Medicago truncatula: one gene and its partners. The protein of the gene in region 1 binds, or shares a complex with, the protein of each later gene. Links are inferred from orthologs where the notes say so. Each region holds a gene or a part of one and is shown in the gene's direction. Other genes may lie near its edges.

What was found.
Region 2: transcription initiation factor TFIID subunit 5 (region 1) and transcription initiation factor TFIID subunit 10 share a complex: the UniProt entries of both Arabidopsis thaliana proteins name them as parts of the TFIID complex. The link is inferred for Medicago truncatula from reciprocal best matches to the Arabidopsis thaliana genes TAF5 and TAFII15.
Region 3: transcription initiation factor TFIID subunit 5 (region 1) and transcription initiation factor TFIID subunit 1 share a complex: the UniProt entries of both Arabidopsis thaliana proteins name them as parts of the TFIID complex. The link is inferred for Medicago truncatula from reciprocal best matches to the Arabidopsis thaliana genes TAF5 and HAF01.
Region 4: transcription initiation factor TFIID subunit 5 (region 1) and transcription initiation factor TFIID subunit 15b share a complex: the UniProt entries of both Arabidopsis thaliana proteins name them as parts of the TFIID complex. The link is inferred for Medicago truncatula from reciprocal best matches to the Arabidopsis thaliana genes TAF5 and TAF15b.

Annotation. Positions count from the first base shown.
Region 1 is NC_053044.1:52,380,833-52,388,957, forward strand, and holds the start of transcription initiation factor TFIID subunit 5, read left to right. Parts: upstream 1-5,062; 5' UTR 5,063-5,172; coding exon 5,173-5,339; intron 5,340-5,425; coding exon 5,426-5,507; intron 5,508-5,604; coding exon 5,605-5,683; intron 5,684-6,049; coding exon 6,050-6,147; intron 6,148-6,258; coding exon 6,259-6,315; intron 6,316-8,125. Other genes in the region: uncharacterized protein, read right to left, coding at 1,523-2,155, 2,400-2,525. UniProt on the Arabidopsis thaliana protein: TAFs are components of the transcription factor IID (TFIID) complex that is essential for mediating regulation of RNA polymerase transcription.
Region 2 is NC_053048.1:37,498,629-37,505,770, reverse strand, and holds the start of transcription initiation factor TFIID subunit 10, read left to right. Parts: upstream 1-3,961; 5' UTR 3,962-4,121; intron 4,122-4,748; 5' UTR 4,749-4,782; coding exon 4,783-4,884; intron 4,885-4,977; coding exon 4,978-5,042; intron 5,043-5,735; coding exon 5,736-5,798; intron 5,799-6,292; coding exon 6,293-6,350; intron 6,351-6,434; coding exon 6,435-6,485; intron 6,486-7,142. UniProt on the Arabidopsis thaliana protein: TAFs are components of the transcription factor IID (TFIID) complex that is essential for mediating regulation of RNA polymerase transcription.
Region 3 is NC_053046.1:11,045,735-11,053,342, reverse strand, and holds the start of transcription initiation factor TFIID subunit 1, read left to right. Parts: upstream 1-4,516; 5' UTR 4,517-4,568; coding exon 4,569-4,620; exon of another isoform or gene 4,621-4,896; coding exon of another isoform or gene 4,897-4,939; intron 4,940-5,734; coding exon 5,735-5,841; intron 5,842-6,694; coding exon 6,695-6,757; intron 6,758-6,959; coding exon 6,960-7,005; intron 7,006-7,608. UniProt on the Arabidopsis thaliana protein: TAFs are components of the transcription factor IID (TFIID) complex that is essential for mediating regulation of RNA polymerase transcription. Core scaffold of the TFIID complex.
Region 4 is NC_053044.1:29,927,413-29,934,716, forward strand, and holds the start of transcription initiation factor TFIID subunit 15b, read left to right. Parts: upstream 1-4,156; 5' UTR 4,157-4,223; coding exon 4,224-4,524; intron 4,525-4,619; coding exon 4,620-4,722; intron 4,723-5,242; coding exon 5,243-5,930; intron 5,931-6,320; coding exon of another isoform or gene 6,321-6,443; exon of another isoform or gene 6,444-6,503; intron 6,504-6,587; coding exon 6,588-6,738; intron 6,739-6,826; coding exon 6,827-6,908; intron 6,909-7,304. Other genes in the region: uncharacterized protein, read left to right, coding at 769-906, 1,005-1,106, 1,204-1,782. UniProt on the Arabidopsis thaliana protein: TAFs are components of the transcription factor IID (TFIID) complex that is essential for mediating regulation of RNA polymerase transcription.

The DNA of each region.
Region 1 (8,125 bases):
AAATATGGTCAAAGTAAGTTAGGTAAAAATTGCACATTTTCAAACAGATCATTTATTGCGGGACGGAGGGAGTACCTCTTATGAAAAAGAATATCCAATTGTCAGTCTCATCCTTTGTGACGAAGAAAAGGGCAAGTTGATGAGTGTTTCCCATTGACCGCTATATCTCGTCGACTTCGTGATGGTTTGCATTAATAAGTAGTAGTTGCGTAGATTTCTTCCAAAGAGATGTTTCATCAATGATAAACTAACTTCTTGGTCTTCTTCATCATTGACTTGACTGTTCTCTTAACTAACGCAGTTTCTTTCTTGTGATTGTGAAAATATGGCTTGTGTTGGACTTTTGGTGATCTCTTTTTGTCGGAAAGCTGCTCAATCCCCACGGATTCCCAAATTGAAATTATACTAACACCAACACTTTATAAACCATTACCGGTAAAACTATTTACTAGAAGGGTAATTTTAACAAGTTTGATATCCAATTCAGTAATAGATTAATACTATGAAAAATCAATCTCACTTCACAATAACAATAATAATATTGTGATAACTTGGCTATGCAAAAATTATATCTTTTGAAAATAATACTTTTGTATTAAGCTACATTACTAATAACATCATTTATAAGATAAAGTTTTTTTTTTTTTGAATTTCTTATCAGTTGATCTTGAGACACTTATTAATATTCCTTTAATTAAAATATCAAACATTTCAATAAATATAATACAAACATTCTCAAAAAAAATACAATCATTAGTGGGGGCAATTGCCCCTCTAATTTCATGTGTGTAGATCCGTGAGACGGTGACAAGTCATTGTAGGTGAGTTGATATTTCAGGGTCCATCAAGATTAGAGTAAACTTTAAAGCTCAATGAACGCTTATATAAGCACTTATTCATCTACCAAATGACCATGTAAGTTAGTCAAATCTTTTAACTTTCTTTGACTAGACTCGTCCAGTGAACTACTACGCATTATGCTTAAGAGTAAAATGCATAATAACAATTTACACACAAAAATTAACCACTCAACCTTGATGATATGGGTTCGAGATCGTGACACTGCGAATACAATTTATACACAACAAATAATGATGACATCTCATCCAAATTCAAAGCACGTCTAGAACACGAAAAGACCACTAAACTTCAGGGGTTGTAGCATCGAACAATAACACTGAGAAGTTGGAGTTCATGCACACAAAATGGCAAACATATTTTTTTTACTAGAGCACATCCCTTTTACAAAAATTATTATTATAGACGGATAAAATGACAAAAATTATTGAAAACTCACGCACACAAATGGAGAAGTCGAATTTCTAACTTTGATTTAACATACTTATATGCAACAATATATATATTTTTGAAATATTATATACAACAATATTTTTACCAACTAAGTTTTTTTTTGAACAAACAAAAATGAAACCTATATAATAACAAACCGAAAACTCTCCGTAGTACAAGGTGTACCAAGGAGAGCCCAAAAAATTACAGATATACAAAGTCCAACAAAAACTTAGGCCAGACCCAAACAATCCAAAGGCCTTGACCACCACAAATCATAACCGAAAACAAAAACGATATTACTAGCTTTTAGCCAACACAAAGAGCGTCGCTTCACTTTATCCAACAACTGATCAATGGAACTACCTATATTAGTAAACAACCTTTGATTCCGATCATTCCAAATGATCCACGCACAAAGTAACCAAACAAGCTGCAAAAGAGAGCGTCGAGCCCGCACCCTTCCTGCTGAATGAGTAAACTGAAAGAAGTGCTCTGAAACCAATAAGGGGTCTGGACCTGAGGCACCAAGCCAAGACCGAACCCGAGACCACAAAGAACCATAATAATCACAATAGATGAATAAATGCTGAGAAGACTCCAAAGCGTCGCACCCTAACAAACAGCCCGCAACAGTGGCTGGAAGGATACCATAATGCACTAGATTTTGCCTTAAAGGCAAACAGTTCTTCAGCAACCTCCAAGCAAAAATAAAGACCTTAAGCGGAACATGAATGTGCCAAACCAAAGCATCAGCACCATCCACCTGAGGCCGATCCTGAGAAGTCAACAAATGATAGGCACTCCTGACTGTATAACCTGCAGAATGATCCAGCGCCCATCTCCATGTATCTTTCTCATTAGACTGCAAAGAAACATGACGAAGTAAAATAATACACTCCCCCAGCATCTCCTCCTCCCACACCTACAACCTCCGCCTCCATCTCCAACCCTCTCCCCCAACGCCCACCCACTAGAGAACATATGCGCAACCGAACAAGACTTATCTAAAGTAAGGTCAAAAAGGTGCCTGAAGCGCACACAAAACGGGACATCACCAACCCACACATCACGCCAAAATAAAGTATCTACCCCGTCTCCCACCATACGAGATACTCCCTCCTGAAACCAACCACCACCAGAAACCTCCACCCCATCCCTAATGTTAGCGATTTCTCACCACCACGCAGAACCACTCCAGCCCCCAACCTCCAACCTCCCATCCTCCTCACCATATCTCGCCACCAAAACCCTATACCATAAACTATTCCTCTCTACCAACAGCCGCCAACACCATTTACCTAACAATGCAATATTAAACTCCCTCAACCTCCGCACCCCCAAACCTCCAAACTCCCGCCGTGAACAAATAGTGGTCCAACTAACCCAAGAGAGTTTCCTAAGCACCTCACAACCCCCCCAAAAAAATTTAGAAAAAATAGAATCAAGGGAAGAAATTATACCTGACGGAGCCTTGAAGAAGGTAAGAGCATAGACAGGAAGAGAGGTCAAAATTAGGTGTGAGCATTAGGGTTGTTCATCAAAATAGGATATTAGGTGTGAGCATTAGGGTTAAAACAGTAAAATTATGCAATAAGGTTTAGGTTAAATTTAGAGCTTACGGGTTAACTTTAATATATAAGAAGATTAGATGATAGCATTAGGGTTGTTCATGAAAATAGGAGATTAGGTGTGAGCATTAGGGTTAAAACAGTAAAATTATGCAATAGGGTTTAGGTTAAAATTAGGGCTTACATGTTAACTTTAATATATAAGAAGATTAGGTGTGAGCATTAGGATTGTTCATGAAAATAAAAGATTAGGTGTGAGCATTAGGGTTAAAACAGTAAAATTATGCAATAGGGTTAGGTTAAAATTAGAGCTTACGGGTTAACTTTAATATATAAGAAGATAAGAAGATTAGGTGTGAGCATTAGGGTTGTTCATGAAAATAGGAGATTAGGTGTGAGCATTAGGATTAAAACAGTAAAATTATGCAATAGGATTTAGGTTAAAATTAGGACTTACGGGTTAACTTTAATATATAAGAAGATAAAACAAATAAATCAATTGTATTTATCTATATCTCTCTATATACATAGAGGGGCTATCAACCGTTAAATCTAACATTCCCTAAAAAAAAAAAAAACGTTAAATCTAACATAAGTTTTTTGACAAGAAATCTAACATAAGTTGTTGATACATATCGTGTGTGTATTGTAAACCACAATGTATAAAGTTCGGATGTTAATCATAAAAAACGATACACCAAGTTTTTGTGTAGTTTTTATATTTCAATTTTATATCCTTAGTTTATACTATACTATTTTATTTATAAAATCATTTTACGAAGACTACAAATCAATCTAGATAGTTAAAAATTTATAACTCTCGCATACACTATGCATCAACTACTTGCATTAGTTTCCATTGATATTATCATACGTCATGTAAGATATTTTTTTACAATCTTATTTTCTTCACCCAATAAAATAACTATTTTAAAAATAATTACGTAGAATTTTGTAAGTTGAATATTTTTATAGAGAAAAACAGGTTCTAGGAAACTTCAATAAAATACATGGTGCAATTGCAAATTTCTTTCTATAAAAAAACTCTTCCAGAAACATTATGGTGCGGCTGCTAGGCTAAATAAGAAAAGGAACACACGCGCAAATTGAAAGAAAATTGGTTTCATTTCATCATTGATGATATCATCATCAATCATAATTTCAAAGGATGGTTGACTGTTAATGGACCTTGACTTGAACTTTAGAACTTAGATTGGGCAACGTGGTTAAAGAAGCAAGTTCCAATTTAAGTTCTACATTTTGGATGTCCCAAATACTCAAACTTTGCGGCTCATTAACTAAATTATTTAGACGTAAGGCTTACTTACTTCTGTGATAAATTATTACTCATAGTTTGAAATTTTTCATTTCGTACATATCACTCTAATTGCCCAGTCTCACTAGACAATATATGAACAGGGAACTGATGTGAACTTCTATTTAATTATATTAGATTGTTTGATTGTATTAACGAGTGTTCAGTTAGAAGCTAACACAGGAAATAATTTATGATGCAACTTAATATATTAGATTTAGTCCATATGTAATAATGAGTTGCAATCTAATTTGTTTCTGTTAGGAAAATGTCATAAAATTGTGAGCGCGTTTGTCATAGTTTAAAAAAAAAAATATTTTTGAAATAACTTACTTTGTTTTTATTTTTTGATGGTCGGGATTCGAACCCCAGACATTACATATATCATGCATTGAATATAAACTATATAAAATGAATTCTTTTGATCCTTATTTTCTTTCTCCTAGAATTTTGTTTTACTTTTTTGAGAAGATGCTCTCAACAGTTTCTCATTTAAAATTGTTTTTAGATTTTTTTTTTTTAAAAAACTTGTAACAAAAGAATCCAATTTTTTTTTTCCAAATGAACGATCCAATAATTTTCTTTTTTTGAAGGAAGGATCAAATATTCTTAAAAGTGATTATTTTCTTAAAAAAGCTATAACAAACCGGCTCTAAAACAATTTTTTTTGTGCGATTCAAGCATCCTTTATGCGTGCAAGACATGCATTCTTATTCTTGAAAACAAAAAAAAAGAAGGTAAGATTGGATAAAAGAGGGTGTAGCAATAGAAAGGAGAGTGTAAATAGTATCCCCATACATGTTTTGATCTGGGCTGAGATTTAGTGAGCAAGGCCTGTTATTCAAGAGCCCAAGCCCATTTATCAGATCTGATTCCAGAACCAACCCTAACGAGACCAGAATCAAATTCAACACGAAGTGTCTCTGCGATTCTGAGAATCGAAGTGAAGTGAAGTAAAAGGGTTTTTGAGCTTTGAGCTCGAATTTGCAATCGAAAATGGACGAAGACGAAATTCTCGGTTACGTAACCGCATACTTGAAGAAGAAAGGGTTTAAACAAACCGAAAAAGTTTTCCAAGAAGAATTTCAACAAAACAAAACAAGTTCATCCTCCAATTCCATTCTCGAACCTGACATTGCCAATCACCTTCATGCATTCTCTCAGTAATTTTCCATTCTTCAACCTAATTTTTTCATTCAACGATTCTTCCTCTAATTCACGTAAATTCGTAATGTATTGTGTTTTGCAGGTTGGAGAATGGTCCTGCAAGGTATCATAATGGATATAGTAGATTAAGAACTTGGACTTATTCTTCATTGGATTTATATAAGGTAATTAATACACTGTTTAATTGCTTAATTTCATTTAATTTGTTTATTGAATCAAAATTATGTTTTAATTTTTGCTTTTTTTTCTTTTTCTTTTCAGCATGAGTTGCTTCGTGTGCTTTATCCGGTGTTTATCCATTGTTTTATGGACCTTGTAGCGAAAGGGCATATTCAAGAAGGTACAATAAGTTCATGTACACTTGCATAGTTTTATTGGAATGTTTGGTTTTGGATTGACTTATTTGTTCTTATCTACTTACATAACCACTTATGAGAATGTTTGATAGAATTCATGGAAATAGAATTTGACATATTCATAAGCTTTTTTCAGTTGATTTCCATAAGCTCTCCAAGATAGCTTAAGAAAACTTTTACCTTATACGAAAATAGTTTGATTTCTTGTAGTAATAACCTATATACAAGAACTTATATGATAGACACTTATGTTATAAGTGCTTAATTAATCTGTTTATCCGAACATGACCGAAATGTGAACCATCAGATGTGTTTTATAAAATCAAATATTTTGTTTTTGATGTCCTCAGCTCGAAATTTTTTCACTACTTTCCGCGAAGACCATGAATTGATGCACTTACGTGACATTCAAAAGTTGGAAGGAGTTCTTTCTCCTACTCATTTGAAGGTTAGTTTCTATCTAAAATCTTATTTTACTCTCTGAGCATCTTCTTGTTTTTTGGATAATCATTCATCAACAGTTTGTTTTGAATAATCCAACTATGTTCTTTTTACTTAGGAAATGGAGTTTGCTCATTCGCTAAGGCAAAGTAAATTCAACATAAAGATATGTGAGGTAATATCTTTATTCTTCTGAATCTGAATTAGTTTATTGACGAAGTTAGTTACAGGTTGTTAGAGCTAGTGTGTAGGATAACCAGTTTCTAAATAGACCTGATGCACACTGTAATGATTATGAATTCAGAAATGAAAGAATAACATTAGAGATTCATAGAGTTCTCTCAAGTGAATGTACCAAGTGTTCATCTTCTAACATACTCTACTGGATTAATTTCAGACGTCCTTCAGCAATTTAACTCCCGTTCCATGCTTTCTCTTCTGTGTTACATGAATCTGTTTTTTACCAATTTATATGATGCTTTTTATTTTGAGAGAATGTTTGGCTATTAGGATTTGTTCCATAATGATGTCACTTAACAGGCAGAACAATTTGTAGGCCTATTATGTGTCTGTCATGAAAGTTATCTATGATATATGATCTCAAGGGTTAGCCATCTGGGGCTTCAACCCTTACTTCAAATCACTCAATTCCTTGTTGGGTTGCCCTTGGACTCTCCTTTCCCATAATGCAATGCAAATGACTCTTCATATCCAGAGGCGGAGCCCCTCATGGGCCAAGGTGGGCCATGGCTCATCCCCAATTTTTTTCTTCTTATTATATATATATATTATGTTTTGTAATTATATGATGATTGTGTAGCATGCTGTAGTGGTTAAGAGCCTTTTTGCCAAGTCTTATGTGCTAGGTTCAACTCTTGCCAAAGCCATTTTCATTACTCTTTTATTTTCTTTTGTATAAAAAAAAGCATTCATAATTGTTAAAATAATCCTTTTTTTTTGTTACTTAATCCTTTCTTTCTTTAATAAAACATAACTCCTTTATTCAATTTAAAATAATCTTTTCCTTCCTTACTCTTATTTTTGGGTACAATTGTCTCTTTACTCTTTTATTTTATTTTATTTTTATACAAAGGAAACTTCAACTCTTTTTTTGTCAAAAAAATTCTCTTTCAAAACACATAACATATTTTTTATATAAAAGAGGACCTCAACCATCTTTTATAATGCATAACATATAACATAAATGTTAAAATATCCTTAAAAAACATGATATCATAAAAATATTTAATTGTATAAACATTATTTTTTAGGTAAAAAAAAAAAAAAAACTTCCCTAAAAAAAAAGGTAAAAAAAAATACTATATTCTTTATTAAATTAAAATATATTTCATTATTGTACTTGATTATAAGTATATTTTCTTATGTAATGATCTTTTTTACATTAATATATATGTCATGAGTTTTATTTTAATTTTTTTTTTACTCGGTCGTTTGATTCAATTCGATTTAATACCTATACATCTGTTTATTGAAGTCGAGTTATTTAATTCAGTCGTTAGGTTCAATGACCTAGTTGTTCGATCAATTATCTTGTACTTTATTAAGGTTGATAAACGGTTCAGATTTTAAAATATCGGTTTGAATTATATTCAACAAATAACAAATTTGTAGTCATTGGAACTAACCAATAATAAAATGTACTTGTAAGAAAATTAAGCTCCATCACTATTTATGGCCCACTCTAGACTTTTTTTCTAGCTCCGCCATCATATCAATGTGGTTTTCCATTTAGGGTCCGTTTTGTGCACATGATATTCAAGAGACATGATAGGATTAGAAAATGGTTAAGGATAGGATAGGATAGGATAGTGACATGATAGACACTTATCCTATCATGTGTTTGGTGTACACATGATAAGAAAGATGATTGAGAACAAAAAATTCATATCGTTTAATTAAAATTATGAGGAATTGAACTTTATTGAATATTTTGGAAATTGAATTGATTGGAATAAAAAAAAAAC
Region 2 (7,142 bases), on another chromosome or scaffold:
CACAATGAATCATAGTTTTTTTTTTGGTCAAGTAGTCTAGTAGTTAGAATTCACTTTGAATAAGTGGGTGTCCGGGGTTCGAACACCGGCCCCTGCATATAACAATACATTATCCTACCAACTGAGTTATGCTCACGGGACAAAAACAAAAGAAAAAATCTAGCCCAAATTGATATATTCATTTTATATAGGGTTAATAAGGTTTTGTTCCCTTCATTTGAAAAAGTTTTGGTTTATCCCTGTAAATTTTATTTTGGAAATTTCTCTTGTAATTTAAAAAATATTTGATTTAGATCATCAGAGCATAGACTTTGCAGAAATGCTGATGTGACATGATAATTTTTGTAAAATTGAGTAAGTGGCAACCGACTTGTCTTTTTTAAATTTTTTTACATTTAATTTTTTTCCACATGGAATTTTGTTTTATTAAACAATAATTTTAATTAACTAAAAACATTTTATCTCAGATCTATGTTCGCCAAATCTTGTCACCATCATGGTTCTTTATCATCTTCGTAAGCTTAGAAATAGTCTCTTTACCATATTTTTTTTAGAAATCGTCTCTTTACCATCATTTTATTCATGGTTTTGGATCTGAATTTTTTTAGATTTGAGATTTTGGTTTCTAAGTCATGTCAAAACCCCAATATTGGATGATATAGTGAAAACCTGGGGAATTATTTTTTGGTTGATAAGAAAATTTTCTTGATTCAAAAGCTTGGAGGATTTTGTTAATATAAGGGTTAATTAAGTTTTTGGTCCCTATAAATATTTGCAGTTTTTTTTTTATTCCTACAAAAATAAATCACACTTTTTAGTTCCTACAATAAATTAAAATTTGTTTAATTATGCTTAAAATTTTTAATTTTCTAATGATTTTTTACATACTTGTTTAAAACATTATAAAAGGTTCCGCTACAATAAATTAGCTCAAAATTTTATTTTTAGGTCCATATTTTCGTTAGTTTTATCTTGAATTTTTGGCTTTTTAAAAAAAATATATTTAATTCATTACATGTTAAAAAATTATAATTTTTATAAAAGAGATTATTATAATGTTCTTAACATGTCTGTTAAAAATCATTTAAAAATATAAAAGTTTAAGTATAATTAAACAAATTTCAATTTAAATAGGGACCAACACATACTTTTAGTCCTTGTAAAATTAAAATTTGCTTAATTGTGCTTAAACTTTTAAATTTGTAACATATTTTTCACATACTTACTTAGAATATTATACAAAGTTCCTCCGCAAAAAAGTAACTTAAAATTTTATTATTAGGTCCAAATTTTCATTAATATAATCTTGAAAATTTGGCTTTTAGAAAAATTCATATTTAATTCATTACATGTTAAAAAGGTAATTTTTTTATAAAAGAGTGTCTTACGATGTTATGAACATGTATGTAAAAAATCTTTCAAAAATTTAGAAGTTTAAGCATAATTAAACAAATTTTAATTTTACAGGGACTAAAAATACTAACAGAAAATTTTGTAGGGACTAAAAAGTGTGATTTATTTTTATAGAGACTAAAAACAAAACTGCAGTTATTTATAGGGACCAAAAACTTAATTAACCCTTAATATAAAAAGGTGAATGTAGGTTGAATGTTATGATGAATTCTAATTATTATTAATTTTGAGTATTTTAATATATAAATAAAATAAATAGCAAGATATGTTTTTTTTTTTTGTTTGTTTTTTTAAAAAATAAAATTGTTTTACACATTCAACACACCATGTAATGAAATTAGTACAATTAGCTCTTTTCAAAGTCCAAAACTAAATAATTTTTAAATTACAAGGGAGAATCTTCAAACTTTATTTTTTATAATTGGTAAACCAAAACTCGCTGAAATGGCATGGGGTAAACCCTATTAACGCTTTTATATATTGTTATAGACTATATTCATTTGATCTTTTTATTTATATGTTTTTTGTTCTTTTAACAACTAATTGCTGACATTTGTCATTTAAAAAATCATTTATTTTAAGGACAAGACTTAGGTGTATTTTCTTACATACTTTTCGTATAGTTCTTTGCGCTCAAATGGCATGGGGTAAATCCAATCAACCCTTTTATATATTGTTATGGACTATATTCATTTGATATTTTTTACCGTTACCAAGTTTTCATCGCACTCAATTTCAAAATGTTTATGTAGACGCTTAATCTATGTTGGTGGATCTAAATTCATTGCTCTTAAAACTAGAGTTCATAGGTGTATTATTCCGTCTTGGTTTGAAACATGTCTCATTAGGGTCGTTCCATGAAATAGGAGGCTCAACTTTCTTTTTAAAATAGGTTCCAGTGAAATAAAAATGCAATTTTTGTTTTTGTGTAGCTAAACTTCATTAAAAAATCAGAATCAGAAGAACTTCTATACATGAAATGAAATAAAATAAAATAAAAGTGAAAGAGAGGTGAAATTTACCAAACGGTGTCATTTGGATTTGTCACTCCGCCGTTGTGAAAAAGGGGAAAACTAATTGTTTATGCGAAAAGGAAATGATCGTTGTGATTCTTTTAATGAAATAACTTTTCAAATTGACTGATTAAGTGATTATAAAAATTGAAGATGGTTTGATAGCATCCGATTTATGTCCAGAAAGGAGAATTGGAATCTAGAAAAAAACTCAAACGTGTACCGAAAAAAGAAAAAGAAGTAACTTTTTTTTATTTAAGTGTGGTGTGTGTATTAGACTTAATTTTTTTTTTAGGCCCGTAACTTTTGGAGGTCTGGCTTGGTTGAGCTGCTTGCGCAGCCCCAAGTTCGGGCATGTGTCTCATTACTTGATATGTAATGTTGTTTACGAAACATTTATTGTAAAATTAGATTTGAATTCGAAAACATTTAGGAATAGCAATGGGTACCCTATGAGTAGGGTACTACAGTGCCCTTTCTCATACCCGCATTTGTAAAAAGTACCTGTATCCGCACCTTGGTGAGCAACAACTTTATCGTCCTTCTCCATACGCTATGGGTACCTAAGTGCCCATACCCACACCCATTACCTGCACTTTAACTATGAAAAGACAATAAAAACATCACAATTGAAATAAACTATGGTCCTAGTTTTTCAAATTACCTCATAAAATAGTATGATGGTAGTATTTAGTCATATAAAAAACATTCAAAATATCACCCATCCCTAAAAACATTAAGGAGAAAATGTATGTAAGTAATCATGTTTGGTGTAATGAACACTTTTTGGACTTATCATCTCAATATTAACGTAAAGACTTTTTAAAGCATTTGAATGAAAAATGGTAACATTGTAATTTTTTTATGACTTAAAAACCAATTTATTCAAGACAAAAAAGTTGAAGGACTAATTAGCTATAAACAACTTACTTAAGGACCAAGGATGATATTTGACCTTATATTTATAAACAACTAACTTAAGGGGATTATCAAATTTACTTTTCAATGGAGGGGAATGTAAATTTTAACATAAGAGAGGATGAGAGTGTAATTCAAGCATCTTTGAGGAGAGCGGAGTGTAATTTACTCTAAATTTTTTTTCCTTAAAGCGACGTACAATTTGAGACGCATGGAGTATTTGTTTTTTTTTTTTTACTATATTTTTTTATGTTAAAAAAGTAATTTTTTTAGGGGAATGTTAAAAAAGTTTATTTTTGTCGAAAAAATGTACTACCTCCGTCCCTAATAAGACTTTTTTGAGATTTTTTTTTCCTTTTTATAAGACCCATTTTCTATTTCCAACTACATTAATTATTTCTTTACATACCCCTATTTATTATACATCTTTTTCTTCAATCAGCAATAAATAGAATGTTGAAAACATAAACCAACCCTCTTTTTTTTCTTAAAGGATAAAATTGTAAAAACAATAGTAATTACAAACGTATTTAATACAAATATCTACTATCTTAGTTCCCGTTATTTTTTTAAAATGACCTTATAATTAAGGACGGAGATAGTATAATGTAACCACGTTGATCCGATTCATTTGAGATGCCCGACGGAAAACCCATTATATAAAAACAAAATCACATTTCAGGAACACACGAGAACCCGATCCGGTTTAGTATTCGCCACCGTCTCCGCCTCTTTCTCCGCCTTCAATCGTGTCTCCGCCTGTTTTCACTTTTCTGGGTAAGCCTTAGAGTTTATTTTTTCGTGCTACTTTTATGGTAAACCATGGAGAACAGAAAAATTTCCTCAATTTTTCTTGCTATTAAATTTTGTTGCTACTGCTAACGATATGAACATCTATGAAAGTTCATTTTGTTAATTCTATTGTAATTTTTATTACTTATTGTGTGTTTAATTTGTTTTTCTTTCAAATTATTCAATTTGGTGTTTTTTCTTTAATCATTCAGTTTGTGTATTCTATGTAACAAATGTTAGTTAGTTAATGTGTGCATCGTTTTATGTTAGTTAATTAGTTAATGCTCCAACCCCTGCCTTTCACATGTGAAGCACCAACACAGACAGACACAACACTGACACTAACACATCGACAGTTGTAATAATTTAAGAAAATGACATAACTGAATGTAATCCATGTGTCATTGTTGTGTCGGACATGGACATGTGTCGTTGTTGTGTCTGTGTCGGACACAAACATATGTCAGACACCAAACACGCCTTCGATCAGGAGTGTTGAGTTTGTGTTATGAGTTGCTCTATTATTATTGAGATTGGAAATGTTAATGTTAATGTTATTGTTGATTTTGATTTTTTCAAAAAAATTGAATTTTGAATGTTGATGGGAACAAGAGCAGTGAGTAAGTGGATAGCGATTGACCAGAAGATGAATCAGAATCAGCCACAATCAAGTTCAAGCGAAGGAAGGGCAGATGATGATTCTGCACTCTCCGATTTCCTAGCTTCCTTAGTTGATTATACTCCTACTGTCAGTTCACTTTTCACTATTTTATTTTATTTTTAAATTTAATTTTACTTGCATCCATCCATATTAATTACTTTTTTTTATATACTGTTTTAGATACCTGATGAGTTGGTGGAGCATTACTTGGCCAAGAGTGGCTTTCAATGTCCTGATGTGAGATTGTGGGTACCTCTTTTCTTTTTCATTCACCATTTTTACCAATCTAGTAACTTAATGTTCTTTTATGCTTCCATAGTTTGAGAAAATATTGAATTTCATGTGAGAAAGCTAGTTCTTTTATGCCTTGGAGTTGGACCATTCTGAGTCTGAGCCTCTACCATCATTTTAGAGTTCTTTAAGCTGTATGAAAATATTGGATATATGTTATATGTCATTTGAAACAAAATTATAGAATATAGATACAAGAGATTAGCATAGCAGTTTGTTTTTGTTCTGTTATATTTTTATACATAAGACCTTGATTCGTGTCTTTATCTATGTGCATCTTTCTTACCATTTACTGGGAATCCTATATGTACATGGAATCTATTTGATCAGGTTGCAGTGTGAAACCAAGGTTGTCAGTTAAACTAGTTTAATTTAAGTTAAAGAACGATAATGTATGCAATTGCTGTTGCTCGGACTTTCTAGCCTTTGTTTTCTTCTTTTTTTAACCTTGGGATTTATTTGAGTTTGTAATTATTGCTGTTTTTCTATTGTTTTTTACCTCTAGTAAATTTGTACATGGGTGCTTGTGAATATGGTAGGTCCTTTTAGGATTCAACATTTCTTCCATTTTGGTTGACTTCTTTTATTGATTTACTTAAGTTTGATTCTTGGCCATTTCATCTTTTGTTCTTATACCGATGTTTCAGGACTAGATTGGTAGCTGTTGCCACTCAGAAATTTGTTGCAGAGGTCGCAGGCGATGCCCTCCAGTATATTCATTTTTCCCTTTCTATTTATTGAATCTTAACCTTCTTTTTTTGTTTTATTTAACTTGAATGACTGCTTTGCAGCCAATTATATATATGTGCACAGTAAATTTGGGGAATAGTGTACCATTGAAATCTATTTCTAGTTTCCCAAAAGTCTTTTGGTAAACTAGAAATAGATTTCAATGATTGACTTTTGGCAAAAACGTTGTCAATGCATGTGGATGAAGTCGACCAGTGTCGGATGGAATTTTTCCTTTCCTTAATGAATGTGTGTCGAAGGCACTTTGTAGGATTAGACACCCAAATTTAATCAAATTCATTTGGAACTTGGCAACTTAATGTTTATGCTTCTATCCCCTTCTTTTGTATAGGTCCATAAATAAATGTACACACACAACAACTTAATTTTTGTGCTTATGTCCCCTTCTTTTGCAAATGCATTACTATCTCCTTGATCTCAGTCATATAGTGATTTCACTTGACGTTAACTGTAGGCACTGCAAAGCAAGGCAAGCAACAATTCCAAAAGACAAAAGGGACAGACAACAGAAGGTTTTGAGTCTTGACTGATTTTAATCTGGTTTTGTCCATACGCGTTCACTGTGTGTGTCTAGTACTGACACTTCATTATGACAGGATAGGCGCCTTGTCTTGACGATGGAAGATCTATCGAAGGCACTGCGTGAGGTAAGAAAATTTGTCTTGATTTAGAAGGGACGAAATTAACTCCTTGTTACCACTAATTGATAATATTTGTTTACATGCACCCTCAATTATAATGCTATGCATGTATATATATTAATTTCCTGGTATGTGCTCCCATCGATGCATTTGCCTACATAGCTGCTAGCTTAGCTAGCTATAGCATACTGCCTTACCATTAATACAAGTCTCTTCATATCAACCGTTCATCTCCCTAAAAATATATTGCTCAGCTGCTCTTAGATTGTTGTTTTGTTGCAAGTTTAGAAAAGTTGGTGTGCGGTTGGTGTTCACACAGTGGGAAGAAGGCCTTGCCAAAGTTGTGGCAATTTACATATCTTCATAGAGAAGAGGATTGGGGTCAAACTAGTATTGCCTCTGTTGCTTTAGGGCTCATTGTTTTGAAGTGTCCTTGTTTAGGGCTCAGTCTAACAAGCTGATCTAGCTTCTTTTCTTGTGTCCTTGTGATTGGTAGTCTGAATGGGTTCATTGTTTTGAGGTGTCCTTGTTTAGGGCTCAGTCTGGCAAGCTGCTCTAGCTTCTTTTCTTGTGAATTCCTTTCTGCAAGTAGAGGCAGAAGTAAGATGCGCCAAGCATAAATTTTCTTAAATAGGCTATGCTTATTGTAAGATAAGACCCGAC
Region 3 (7,608 bases), on another chromosome or scaffold:
TTTTTAAAGGGAAATGCTTACAATGTCTTTAATCAAGGCTCTGTTAAGACCTTTTAAATAGTAATTTTTTATGAAAGTTTAGATATTGAAAATTGAATTACTTGACTTTTATATGGAATACTTTCTTATTTTATAATCCTTAAAGAGTGTTCATTGTATTCGTTAGCAAGACTTCAAAAAATATTATTTTATTTTATTACCGTAAACTACTATTTTGTTTCATTCCTCGTAATTGAAAAGTATGTTTAATATGATATTTTTTAATTATGAAACACTAATATGTTGTTCGTCTAATATATCTCTTATAATACGACGCATAAAAATTACCACTTTTTTTATTCTTGTCGGGATTTGATGATCTTAGTCTTTGCGCAACCGAGGGAGGAATATCAGTGACTCGTGAGGCAAGTTTCGCTCCAGCACTTAATAATAATATTCTCTTCATTGCAATGTCCAATGCGGTTTTGCTCAAGTCTTTTGCCATCAAATCTATTCTAGTCTTTACCAACAATCGAGCATGTATTATATATTTATTATTATATTTGTTTTACATCTTGAGTAGTTTAACTTGTTGATTCATTTCACACATTTACTTTTGCACACTTGTGAGTGATGATTTATATCAGGGTATGAGTAAATCCTATGATTAGTGAGCGTTCGCATACAATGCACCTTGAATCATTCTTACTTTTAATGGTTCATCTAAAATTTGTTCTTAAGATGACATATCATGATATGCCTTAGAATTGGATCATAAAAATACCTTAATTATAAAATTTCATAACTGTATGAAATTTGAAGATGTTCATAAAATTTGTTATAGTTTACTCATTGACATATTCATTTCCTGATTCTTAAGTGATATATTTTGAAAATGGTTTTTGAAAATATGTTAACATGGATTATGAAAATTTCATTCTCCAAACATGTTTTTAAATGGATCATAATTTAGGATTTATCTTTGAAAGATTTTCAAAAGAAACGCATCATTTGTTCTTGAACTTTTTATGATGCTGAGAATGTTCTCATCACAAAGATCAATTAAAATTTGCATGTATAAGCCTAATGAATTAACACTTGTGTAAGTTCATATTTCTTAGGCAAAAATTTAAATGTATATTGATTGCATTATTAATCAATATCTTGTTATGTAAACGTCTTTCTATATCTTTTATAGAAAACATATCCCTGATCATTAATACGCTAAAACTCCATGAGTTAGTCTCTTAATCATAATGGATGATAGACATGAGATTTAGAACAAGAAAAATATCAAAATATCATGATTTCGATACAATATATGTCATATGTTATTCTTACATATGTATTTTCATGAATTGATTTTTGATGACTTATCTAAAAATCATATTCAATGTCTTTCAATATGAATATTTTAATTGAGTTTTATCGTTGATAGGATTTCAACAAAATAAAAATCATATTTAACAAGAGAATAATTGTGTGAATTGTTAATATATTAACAATAAATTCAAAATTGATCTAAAAAGGGATTTACATATTTTGTTCCTAAACTAATATTGAACATATTCTTGGCATGAATATTTTGTTTAATCATTGTTGAATGTCTACCTTGTTGCACTTGCAAAATTTGGAGACAAAAATAGATATAAACATCAATGGCATACTAGTATATGTTTGTGCATAAATATGTTGCATAAATACTTCTCTTCAAACTCATCTTATGTGTTTAGAATCTCTTTTAAGCATGAAAACTTGAAAGATAAGTACCTAAGATAACTCACACAAGCACACTTACTTAGAGATAAGTTTAAACACATACTTGATTATGAACATGTGTGTTTTCCAAATTCTAAATACATGTAGTTGATTTCTATTATAATGAGAAAATCATATTGCATATTCATTTAAAGATGTTTACCCATTGAAAATATTTAGAAAAATATTCAACATGAAAATCTTTGAAGAGAGAAATATTTTTGACATTGTGTCAAATGACTCTGATTTCATCGCTTCCACTAATGAATTATTTTCTCTCGTTTTAAAAAATTGTTGAAAATGATCAATTGATCATAATTGTCATTATTCAGATGATAAACTGAAATGCATATTAATCATGATACATGCTTGATTATGTTTGATAAGAGAATATGACTTCGCAAAAAAACATGATTCTTATGTGCAATATATTTTTGTTGTTTCTTCCCACATCTGTACTTCATTTTTTTTTTACATATCATACTCAATATGAATATTTTTTCTCGTTCCTTTATTACTTTGTGCCTGTTTGTTTTGGTTTTTCAGCAACAAGAAGCACTTCTACAAGCCTCAAAAGTGGAAATTGAATTTTCAATGTTGTTTGGTTTGGTTTTTCAGAATTGTTTCTATCCTCAAAAAACAATTATCCTTAAAGCTACAATTTATAGCTTATGGCTTTCATAGAATCAATTATACATTAAATTTTATATTTTAATTATTAGAACCTATTATTTTCCTTTATTGTCCTTTAGCAATTCCCCTTCCTTTTGCTTTCTAATTAATTTGATGAACCAAATTTAATCAAAAAACTTAGCGAACCAAATTAGCCCCTGTAAAATATTTATGGTCATGAGCTACCAAGTTTTGGATTTTCCTTTACGGTGTCCCCATTCAAATTTACTGCATTTTTTCTTTTACACTATATTTGATTATTTTTGGCAACTAACTCTAGTATTATTTAACTTAAATATATTTATCAAAAAATATAAAATATATCAACAAATACTTTGTAAAAAAAAATTAGTTGATGATCGTATTTATTATGTTTTAAATTAATATATAGAAAATTTATTTATTTAAATTAAATAATATATATACATTTAGTATTAATATACATATACATTCAATTATGCACATTTACTTGAATTTAACTATGTCCATTTTAGTAACCATACATTCAAAAACAATTTTGATGAAAACTATCCAAACAACATTCAGTTTGTCTAATCAATTCTGCATTATTATATCCAAACATAAATCAATTCTATCAAAATCAATTATGTCAGAATCAATTCCATCTAAAGCTGAATCAAACACACCCTTTATTTATTTCAGTAATATATTCCAGAATTCTTTGGTCCTTTTATTTACTTAATTTTAAATATACAATCCAGAGTTCTCTGGTCCTTCTATTTATTAATTAACAAATATTTTTATTTGTTTAACTCTTACTAAGAACTTTCTTGAGTAGATAAACTTATTTAAGTTTCAGGACTAATTTTTAAAAGGGTCACAATTCAAACCCCTTTTCTTGTGACTATTTCTTCCACTTCAGGAAGAACGATGTGTATGATCATAACTTCCACTATCACCTTCATCATTGTTATTTCCACTTCTTCCAAAGACATAATCAAACAATCCAGAAGTTCTTGGTGGTTATATTTGTTGGTAGTTATATGAAGAATTTGTTGATGAGCCATGATGTAATCCACCAACAAAATCACAATCACAACAACATATACAATCAAAGTTCAAAGTTCTAACATCAAAGTCCCAATTTTTTCTCTAAAATTTCATCTAGTATTTGTTACCTAAATACTCAAATTAAGAGTATCAATTTAAAATTACCTCGAGTTTAATAAATAAGAGATTTTTTTGGCGGTGTCCGGGATTCGAACCTCAGACCTTGCATATATTATGCATTATCCCTACCAACTGAGCTAAACTCACGCGGATACTTAATAAATAAGAGATGAATGCACACTTTTTTTTTTTGTTTGAGTTTAATAAATAAATGGCTTAAATATGCATTCTGTCCCTGTAATTAAAGTACTTTTTGATTTTCGTCCTTGTAAAAAAAAATTTAAAAACATCCTTGCAATTTTTTTTTTGTTTTAAAAACATCCATGACCCCACTTTTTTGCTGACATGGGATGACTTTGGCCAAATGGCAGTTGCCACATCATTAAAAATATTTTTTAAAATTAAAAAAACTGAAAATAAATAAAAAAATCATAAAAAAATTCCATTTTTTTTAAATGAAGAAAAAATTGGAAATTAGTTTTTTTTTTTAAATCTGGAAATAAATGTTTGAAAAATAAAATAAAAAATTATATAATCTCAAAATTTATAACTTTTGAAAATATAATTTTCAGTTTTATTTTCGAATTTTTTTAATTAAAAAAAAGAATTTTCAGAATTTTGAAAGAAAAAAAAATTTAGTTAAAAGTCAAAAATTTAATTTTCAGCTTTTTTAATTTTTTTTATGATTTTTAAATTTATTTTCAGATTTTTTTAATTTAAAAAAAAATTTTGAAAAAAAATAAATAACTAATTATGTGGTATGCCAGGTCAGTATCATGTGGCAAAAGTTGCATAGTCAGCAATTATAGTTGCACAGTCAGCAACTATCATATGGTCAAAACAATTTAATTTTTTGCAGGATATTTTTAAAATATTTTTTTATTTTACAAAAGAAAAAAATCAAAATGCGTCTGAAATTACATGGACGAATGCCATATTTAAAATAAATATATGAATAAACCATCTCAAAAAAAAGAAAGAAACACAGCAAAATCGCAAATCGCAAATCGCAAACCTGAACAAAGAGAATGAAGCAAGAAACAGCAACACCAGAATCGCAAATCGCAAGCAGGAAGAGAAGTAAGTAATTGATTTGTGTAAAAAAGATAAAATTCAGGTTTGAGATGCCTGACTTGCACAAAAGATAAGATTCTTTCTTCTCCTGTTCAAATTTCTGAATTTTCAAGTCTGTAACGGAGTCCGTAACGGCGTTCCGTATCGGCGATTTTCCTGTGATTTTTGTTCTCGACGTGAAAAGGTCCAAAAACGGTCACGGTGGCCGCTGATACCGTTTTGTAACGTCCGCAATTCCGGTACCGGTCCGTTTTTTGAAACCTTGATCCGCTCAACAACAACATGGGGTATGATTCGGATAATTCACAAGATGGGAGAAACGAAGGTAACTTTGTTTATTGAAGATTTTAGAATAGGAGTATCAGAAGTTAAAGGAACTAGGAGAAAGTGGAAGTGTATGAATGTGAAATTTAATTATAGTGTTTCTCAGATTCAATATTAATTTTTTTTTTTTTGAAGGAGCACTATTAGAAGCTAGAAATGTAATGAAACCCTAGTTTACTCAAATAAACAACTCTGGGCATCGAGTTAAGTAATGATAAATACGAATCAGGAGCAGTGGGACGGAGTTTTCGCTTCTAAATTTTGTGAAAATGATCGATTGATGTATCACCGAGAATCTAGATGTATTTTCTTTGCTTATAATGGATGTTTATGAAAGTTAAGCTTTCTAGTTGCACCGGCACTTTAAGAATAGGCTTAGTCATTAAGGGTAAATCTGGGAGATGGATTTTGGAGGGCTAAGTCTTATATTTTAGTATATATTTGAGAATTTAAAATAGGTGAAAGAATGCCATGGTATATGATCATATAACAATTCAATCACACTTTATTCATTTACATGACATATAACAATTCATTGCACTTCATTATTTTTTTAACATACTTTATAGCTTTCATAATTTAGAAGAGAAAACAAGTCCTCCCCTCCCCTCCAAAATCTCTCCCCTAAACAAACCCTAAAGTAGGATTGACTTGGTGGCATCATTGTTAATTGCTATGTGCTGAAATATGTCAAGCCGTTTGTCTGTGAGTTTGACGCGGTGTTGATTTATTTAGCTTCGTTTTTTTGGTTTATATAGTTCATTAACTCAGTATGTTCAATAATTTGGCTTGATAGATGATGAAGAAGAATATGAGGAGTCTGGCAAGGGTAATCATTTTCTCGGGTTCATGTTTGGAAATGTTGATAATTCTGGTGATCTCGATGTTGATTATCTTGATGAGGTAATTTAATGTGTCCTTTGATGTTTCTGTGAACTTGCTTGTTGAAATGTTTTGAGAACCAAGATCGGGCTTCTGCATGCATATATTTGTTATTTTGCTTGATTGATTCCCTACGCACCTTCTCAGTAGTTTCCTGAAATTTCTAAGCTATTGTAGTATCATCATGATTGGTATGCGGAGGGTTTTGAAGTTGCTAAACTTTTTTATATTAGAAGATTTAAAACCATTTTTACTGTTTCTGTAAAAGAAAAAACCATATTTACTGTTTTGAGATATATTATTTTTTGGGAGGAGGACAGGTTTTTACAAAAACCTTTATTGTAGCTTTTTGAAAAACAAAAAAGGATGCAGTTTGGACATATTGGCGCAGTATGGTTGTCTAAACTAAAGAATTACCTGAGATTCAACTTTGGAAGATTTGATTTAGTAGTGTGCATAGATTCTTATTTGTTAAGATCAAGTGGTTATTTTACAAGTCAAATTGATCTTTATTAAATAGGTTTAAGACTTTAGGCATCATAATTTTCAACTGAGTATAGAGTGCGATAAAAGCTTGCCTTTGTATGTGTACAACAAGATTGATGTTAATGCCTATACTTTGAACTACTTTTAATGATCTGTTGGAGGTTCCAGATCAATTATTCTTTGTAGGATCTGTTGGAGGTTCCAGGATAATTGTTCATTTAGGATTTGTTTTCTTATTTTGAAAAATAGAATTATAATTATTCTTAGAATTATAATTATTGTGGGATGCACATTTTCTTGTTCTGGATCGTTTATGCTTTCTTCATTTGTTTATGTGTTTTGGTCAAAAACAGTAAAATTGGTGCTAAATGAGAATTTTTCCTTTTAGGATGCAAAGGAGCATCTATCTGCATTGGCTGACAAGCTGGGTCCATCATTGACAGATATAGATGTAAGGATATCAAATTTATTATTATTGTATTTTTTTTTTACTGTACATATCTAGATATCATTATCAGGCTGTAGTGTTGAATTTATAAATCAAAATGCTATCTTCTGATTTGGTTAACAAGCGTTAACTGTTAATTTTTCTTTGTATTTTCATTGTCTCCACCTCTTCAATTTTCCTTGATAAGAATGTGCTCTGTTTGCAGTTGTCAGGAAAGTCACCACGAACACCGCCTGGCATTGTTGAACAAGGTGAAGTTGTCTGTCAGGAAAAACTATATCATGCAGTTTTTGATATTCTGTTGGTATCTTTTTTCCTTTATCAACTGAGAGCACTAAGCCTGTGTTTTATTTCTACTGGAATTGTTTCCCACATGAAGTATGCTTGGTGGAAAATATCATGCAAAGTAGCTATTTTTCTTTTGTTATCAGTGAATTTTTTACCTAAATGTCTAACATATTCCCCCATAGTATCGGTGGAGAAATGAAGGCTAGCAGCACAGTCTTCATCATACTCTTGATGATTTGTCCTTTTTTAAAAAAAAATAATTCAGTACACTTACCACATCAATTGGTCATTTCTTAAGAAGTGTTTACTCTTTAAAAATTGAACCAATCATAAAGAGTGTGTTCTAAAGAATTTTTTGGGAATAAGATTTGAGAACTTTTGGCGGTACCCTTAGTTTTAGAAATATTGTATAAATTATTATTATTTTTGTTAAAACTGGTAGTCATGCCTGATGATAGGGGTTTGTAAGGGCTAGTGGTGCACTTCAGTAGAACTAGACTAATTAAGCTAGCTGAAGTGTAGTTTTAGTGATGGTTTGTAGCTGTTTACATGAATGAATGGGTAAT
Region 4 (7,304 bases), about 22 Mb from region 1:
CAATTTTATTTTCTTATGTTATCTTATCACCCTTTTGACTGTTCAAAAAAAATCTTATTACCCTTTTGATTTTGAACTCTCTTCTCTTCCAAATGTTGTTCAGGTTCTCTAATTGACAATCCTCTCATGAAGGTAAACTCAAATATCGAAGAACAGTTTCCTATGGACGATGAAATAATAGTTTCCAGATCAAGACTCTCTTCTATCGTGTCTCAGTTTCCAAATGGGACTGAAGTTCAAGCAACATCTAAACATGAGTTAACTTCTTCACATAAAAATGGCAATGAGTCAAATGTTGTGGAGACAAAAATGAAACAAACAGAAGAGAGAAAGCAAGAATTTGTTGTAAACATTCCTGGTTTAGAGATTCCTTCGGTAGCAAATTCACCAACAATTTCACAAGTAATTTTCCAGCCATGTCCCTTCCTTCGATATTCTTCTTATAAAATCCATTCTTATGGATATAATGAATATAAGGAATGTAATTAGTAGTTTCACATCTCTAACGCTTAATTTCCTAATCGCAGGAGTTGTTGAATGAACAATCAACGAGTCAACAATGTTTGATGGATCAAAGTATTCAAGAGGGTTCTACGTTACAGAAAACTGTCGCAACAACTTTTGCCACCGTTTCAGAAACAAGGAACGAGTCTACTATACAATTAGCTGCTCCCAAACAAAAGGCAACTATTCGCTCGACTCTCTTTCAACTTATATTGGAAATCAATTATGCTAAATTGCAACCCACTGTAATATCTTTTTAATTTTATGAAGGTTATCAAGTTAAGTTTTGAAGATACAACAACTATAGCTAATGCCAAGACAATAACATCGGCAACTCATTCAGAACCGAATATTTCATCATCAGGGCCATTAGTTACTTATGAGCTTAAAACATCTTCACATGTGAGTTTACTGTATGGAACCAAGCTTTCAAGCATTTACTTCAACTACTACTTAAAAATATCATGCAACTAATTTACATTTCCATGGTTTGCAATTAGTTGGAGGGTTCTATGTTAGGCAAAATAGAAGCAGCAAGTTTGTCCATCATTTCAGGAACAAAGAATGAGACAGATTTACAATTAGTGGCTCCTAAACAAAAGGCATTTCCCCTATTTTGCTTGTATTCTTTTTTGACTCTTTTTTAATGCAGGAATTGAATTATATTACAAACCTAAGTATCCTTATAATTTTAAGCAGGTTATCGAGATAAGTGTTGAAGAAGGAAGTACATCAACACATGTAGCAATGGAAGATATTAACAAGCTGATCGAAGAAGACCCACTTCTTGCATTTGAGAAGCTTCTTACTGGACAAGTGCCAATTTCCTCCGTTCAAATTTTACTTCAAGAATTGAAGACTTTGGACTCATCGTCAGACCTTGACGATCTTGTATCTAACCAAGAGTCCAAATCAAAATTGATTTCGCTTGTTCATCAGTTGAGTCAGCATCAAGAAATGTTAACTTCTGAATTGAAGGACTTTGTTGAGAAAGTGAAGAACTTCTTCAATGATAACATTATCAAACACGCCACTTCTCAACAAGTATTCAACAAGCACAACCAACTTCTTGCTTTGAAAACTGATCTCATGAACAAGCTTTGGAGTGCAAAGAGTACACAAACCCACATTGACGGGGAATCTTCAACTGCCAATGCTCAGATACATGAATTCTCTTTACAAATTGATGATTTGAAGTCAGTCCTGAACAAATGTGATGTTCAGAAGGATAAGTTGAAGGCTGAATGTACTGAGTGGGCACAACAAAGTAAAGAATAACTTTCTGCACTTGCGTCATCCGGGGTCGATGTAAGAGAAGCTGAACTTGCGAGGAATTTCGCAACAGAAGGCTTTGCAAATTTAAAATCATCCTTTCCTACATTTTAGGAGGGAGCCTCACAAAAATAGGATAGGGTGTGATTAGTGTTTTTGTTAATGTCGTTTTGTTTATGTAAGCTTAGTACTGCGCTCTTTTTTCCTTCATCTGGTTTTATCCCATTGGGTTTTACAAGTAAGGTTTTTAATGATGCAGATGTATCACATTGTTATTCACTTAGGTATTAATCTTTATTTTATTTTAATAATATTTTTTGAGTGCTCCATATGATAAGTGGTAGGATTGCATTTCAAACATAGTTGGATGTTTTTCTTACCATATGATGCTTTTGCAATATTTTTTGTTAGAAGAGAATAATATATACCCGCGTTGCACCGTGCAATCTGCATTGCACGGTGGGAAAATAAAACTTCTGAGTTGAAGGACTTCGTTGTGAAAATATAGAACTTCGTTGAGAAAGTATAGAACTTCGCCAATGACAACATTATCAAACACGCTACTTCTCAACAAGTATTCAACAAGCACGACCAACTTATTGATTCGAAAACCAATCTCATGAACAAGCTTTGGAGTGCAAAGAGTACACAAACCCACGTTGACAAAGAAACTTCAGTTGCCAATGCTCAGATACATGAGCTCTCTTTACAAATTGATGAACAATCGGCAAGTCTTGAGAATCAAAGAGAGGATTTGAAGTCAGCATTGAACTAATGTGATGTTCAGAAGAAAAAGCTGAAGGCTGAATGTTCTAAGTGGGCACAACAAAGTAGAGAATTACTTTCTGCACTTGCTTCCTCGAAGGTCAGTGTAGAGAAGCTGAGCGTGCGAGGAATTTGGCAAAAGAAGGCTTTACAAATTTAAAATCATCATTTCCTACATTTTAGGAAGGAATGACAAGGTGCAATACTTTCTTACGTGCATGTTGCTTGTACTGATATCTTCTTGAACTTAGCATTGAAGATTAGTAAAAGCACACTTTTAGCAACTAACCTATGTATTGTACACCTTTCAGAAGAAAAAACCATTTGCATCGTAACTTTCTATGACAACACTGAAGCATTGAATTATAATAAAACTCTAATATATATCTGATTTGAACAGCTTAACAATGAAAAAGAAAGAAAGAAAAACTTAGGAAAGTCAAAAGAATATACTAAAATATTATGAACATAAGAAAAATAATAAGGAAAAACTCATGTTCGATTTTCTCCGATGCTAATTTAAATGATTAAACCACTTTTTCATACAAATTTATTTATCTTAATAATTTAACCAATACTCTGAAGACACTCATTAGCATTTTTCTTAGTTTTCACATGAAAGATTTTTATTTGATCTTAAATTTGAATCACCGTGATCTTATATTAATGAACATAAAATTGTATCTGGAGACAAGTTTTACTTCCCTCTTTTTGTATTGTTGGCCGTGAGGCCTATTTTTGTTGTAGGATGAGTTTTTCAAATTTTTTGTTTAATGTATAAATTGATGACTTCGGTAAGTAGATTTTAAAGAAAAATTGATTTTTGAATCATGTCATAAAACGTCTTAAAAAAAGTGACATAAATAGTGACTTATATCAACAATCTCTTATTTGGATGAAAAATAAAATTTAAATTATTTTATTAATATTGTTCCAACAATGCTTCATCCAAAAATATATATTTTGATCCTAGCTAGCTGATGCCACAAGTGCACAACATGAAAAATCTCGTGCCATTGGCAAACCTAGGAAAAAGTTACTCCAACCTTCTCACAATAACGAACCCATTTTCTTGTATGAAGTTATAAATAATAAAATAAAAAATATTTACAAAATTAACCTAGTTAACGATTGTGGTATTTCTATTATCATAATAAATACAAGGCTAAACTGCACTTTTCGCCCCTAAGTTTTAAAATGTTGCGATTTTGACCCCCTATTAAAAAAAATGCGACTTTGGCCCCTTTCGTCCAAAAATTGCCGAGAAGGTGCCACGTGCCCCAAAAAAGGGGCCATAATCGCAACTTTTTGTAAAGATAAGGGGTCAAAAAACATATTTCTCTTATGTTAGGGGTCAAAAGAGCATATTTCCCTAAAGATGGGGTCATTTTTGCCATTTTTTTAATAGGGGGTCAAAATCGCAACATTTAGAAACTTAGGGGGTGAAAAGTGCCGTTTAGCCTAAATACAAAGTGTAAGTCAAGAAACAAAAATACAAAGTGTAGAATAATAATTTAGGAGGGTGTAATAGAAATAACAAGGGTGCAAAAAGTTTCTTCCTTTGTTAAAACGGAAAGGCCCAATATTTCACAGTTACATTCTACAATAATATTTCAGAAGCTTCACTACACAAAAAAATCTCAGTTTCTCTCTTGTGGTAGTAGCGAACCCTAGATCGAATCATGTCTGGAGGGTACGGTCACGATGCCGGAGGTGGCTCTGCGCCACCTTCCTATGGTGCTAGTGGTGGTTACGGAGGCGGAGGAGGTGGTGGCTATGCTGGTGGATATGCTGGGAATGAAAGCGGTGGTGGTTACGCAGCGAAAGGAAGCGGAAACGGTGGTGGTAGAGGATATGGAGGTAACGATGGTGGAGGTTACGGTGGAAGGAGTGGATATGGTGGAAACGATGGCGGAGGATATGGTGGAAGAGGTGGTGGCGGTAGAGGAGGTGGTGGTGGTGGTGGAGGATATGGAGGTCGAGGTTTGTTATTTTGATCTGTAATTTGTTTTCTTTTTTAGTTAATTTTCAATCTTATCGTGTCTTTAATTTCTGTGGATTGATGTGAACTTAAACAGGTGGCGGTGGCGGTTTTCAAGGTGGAGATCGCGGTGGCCGAGGTGGAGGTGGTGGCCGTGGTGGAAGTGGCAGAGATGGAGATTGGCGTTGCCCTAACGAAAGGTATTTGATTTTTTTCTGCCAAAAATTTATGATTTTCACTAGTATTTTTTATTAAAATGAACAATCAATTTAGTCTCCAAACTATGTAAATATAATTAGTAGTCCTAAATTATGTAAAGCCCATCAGTTTAGTTCCTGCACTTAAGATATTAGGGGCAAAAAGGACGGATTTTAATGTACATTTAGAGACTATATTAACGAATTTTATATAGTTTAGGGACAACTTATTATATTTACATAGTTTAAGGATTAAATTGATGGGTTTCATATAGCTTAGGGAAAACTTATTATATTTACATAGTTTAGAGACTAACTTGATGGATTTTATGTACTTTAGGGAATAAATTGACGAAGTTCACAAAGTTTAGGAAATACTTATTATGTTTACATAGTTTAGGTGCTAAATCGGAGAGAGTGATAGTTTAGGGACTAAATTAATGATTTATTTTTTCACTTAACTTTATTGCTGTTGATTTGATTCTTACGTTTCTTATCTGATTCAATATTGTTATTTATATAGTTGTGGGAACAATAACTTCGCTAGAAGGAGTGAATGTAACAAATGTGGTACCCCATGTCCTACCAGTGGTAATGACCGCGGTGGCGGCGGCGGCGGCGGTGGGTATAATAGAGGAGGAAGTGGTGGAGGATATGACAGTAACCGAGGAGGTAGGTCTGAGAACTATGGAGGTAGAACTAGTGATTATAATGGTGGAAGGGGTAATAACAATGATGGAAGAAGTGGAGGGAGCAATAGGGGTGGCTCGTATGGCGGGAATCAAGGCAGAGAAGATGGTGGCTATGGTCAAGCACCTCCTGTTGCTGCTGCTCAGTCTTATGGTGGTGCTGGTGGAAACTATCCACCTACCTATGGTGGGAATGCAAATTATGGAACAGATGCCGTTCCTCCACCTACAAGTTATACCGGTGGACCTAATTCATATCCTCCTTCATATGGGGGTAACACGGGTGGTTATGGTGGAGGTGATGCACGGAGTGGTGGCAGGGCTGTGCCTCAAGCTGGATATGACAGTGGTAATCGTGGTGGATTTGGTGGAGCTCCTGCTGAGCCAGCTCCAGCGGCTCCGGTGAAGCAGTGCGATGAGAATTGTGGAGATACATGTGACAACTCTAGAATCTATATCTCAAATTTACCACCCGATGTGACTGTTGATGAATTGCAGCAACTTTTTGGAGGCATTGGACAAGTAATGTTCTGATCTGTTGACTTTGCACTTTTTATTTGTCGCAATATTTTTATCACGAATGGATATTTTATATGAAAGTGCCAATTTCAGAGTAAATTCAAGTTCTCAGTCTGATACATAATACATATTGAATTGTGCTTTGTGTAAGAAATATAATCCTGTTGTACTTGTGCTAATAGGTTTATATTTTCATACGAGGCTTCAACATACTAGACATTTTGTTACATTTGTTTTAACTTCCTATGTTGGAAGAATAAAGTAGAAAAGGGGAAATAGGTTTATTTTTTTTAATTCTCTTTGAGAAGTATTAGAGGCCTCAACATTCTATCACCAAAAAATAAATAGGCCTGAACATTCTAGACGTTTTTTACACATGTTTTAACTGCCTAGGTTGGAAGAATAAAGCAGAAAGGGGTAATAGGTTTATTTTTTGATTCTCTTTGCGAAGAATTAGAGGCCTCAACATTCTATCTCCCCCCCACACACACCAAAAAAAAGGCCTCAACATTCTAGACATTTTGTTACATGTGTTTTAACTGCCTAAGTTAGAAGAATAAAAGCAAAAATGGGTAGCAGGTTTATTTTTTCGTTCTCTTTGGGAAGTATCAGCTGCCTCACCATTCTAGACGTTCTGTTACATGTGTTTTAACTGCCTAGGTTGGAAGAATAAAGCAGAAGAGGGGTTATAAAGATCAATGGCCTTACAACATTAAAATTTACACTGATGAAAATGGAAAAAACAAGGGTGATGCATGCCTTGCTTACGAAGATCCCTCTGCAGCTCACTCTGCTGGTGGTTTTTACAACGGTACTTCTTGTAACTGCTTTTTTCTTGCTATATACATTGATATTATTTCTCATACAAAGTTGAACTAATCACGATTCTGCATTTTCAGATTATGATTTGAGGGGTTACAAAATCGGTGTTGCAATGGCAGAGAAATCTGCACCAAGGGCTCCTCCAGCAAATAACCATGGGTATGCATTACACACTGGATCTATCTGTTGGAGATGAATGATATGCTAACGTTGTAGATTTGGATCGAAAACATGGGTTATTGTCATAATAACTCAAAAGTGTTCACTCATTCAATCTCTATCCATATCTTTTATTTTATTTTTCATTTTTTTAAGCATAAATGTAGTAAGTGGAGCGTTGAGCTCATCCATCTTCTAATCATCATAACATTAACGTAAAGGATAAATGATTTTCAAATTTAGGTTTTTTTCAATTTGGATTTGTATACTTTACATTTATTTGGCATATAATTATTTTATTACACTGATGACATAATACATCAACTGACCATGTTATACGTTTGAGTGTTCTCTTATGTGAAAATGAAAATTCTAACCCTTTTTTGAAGTTCAAAA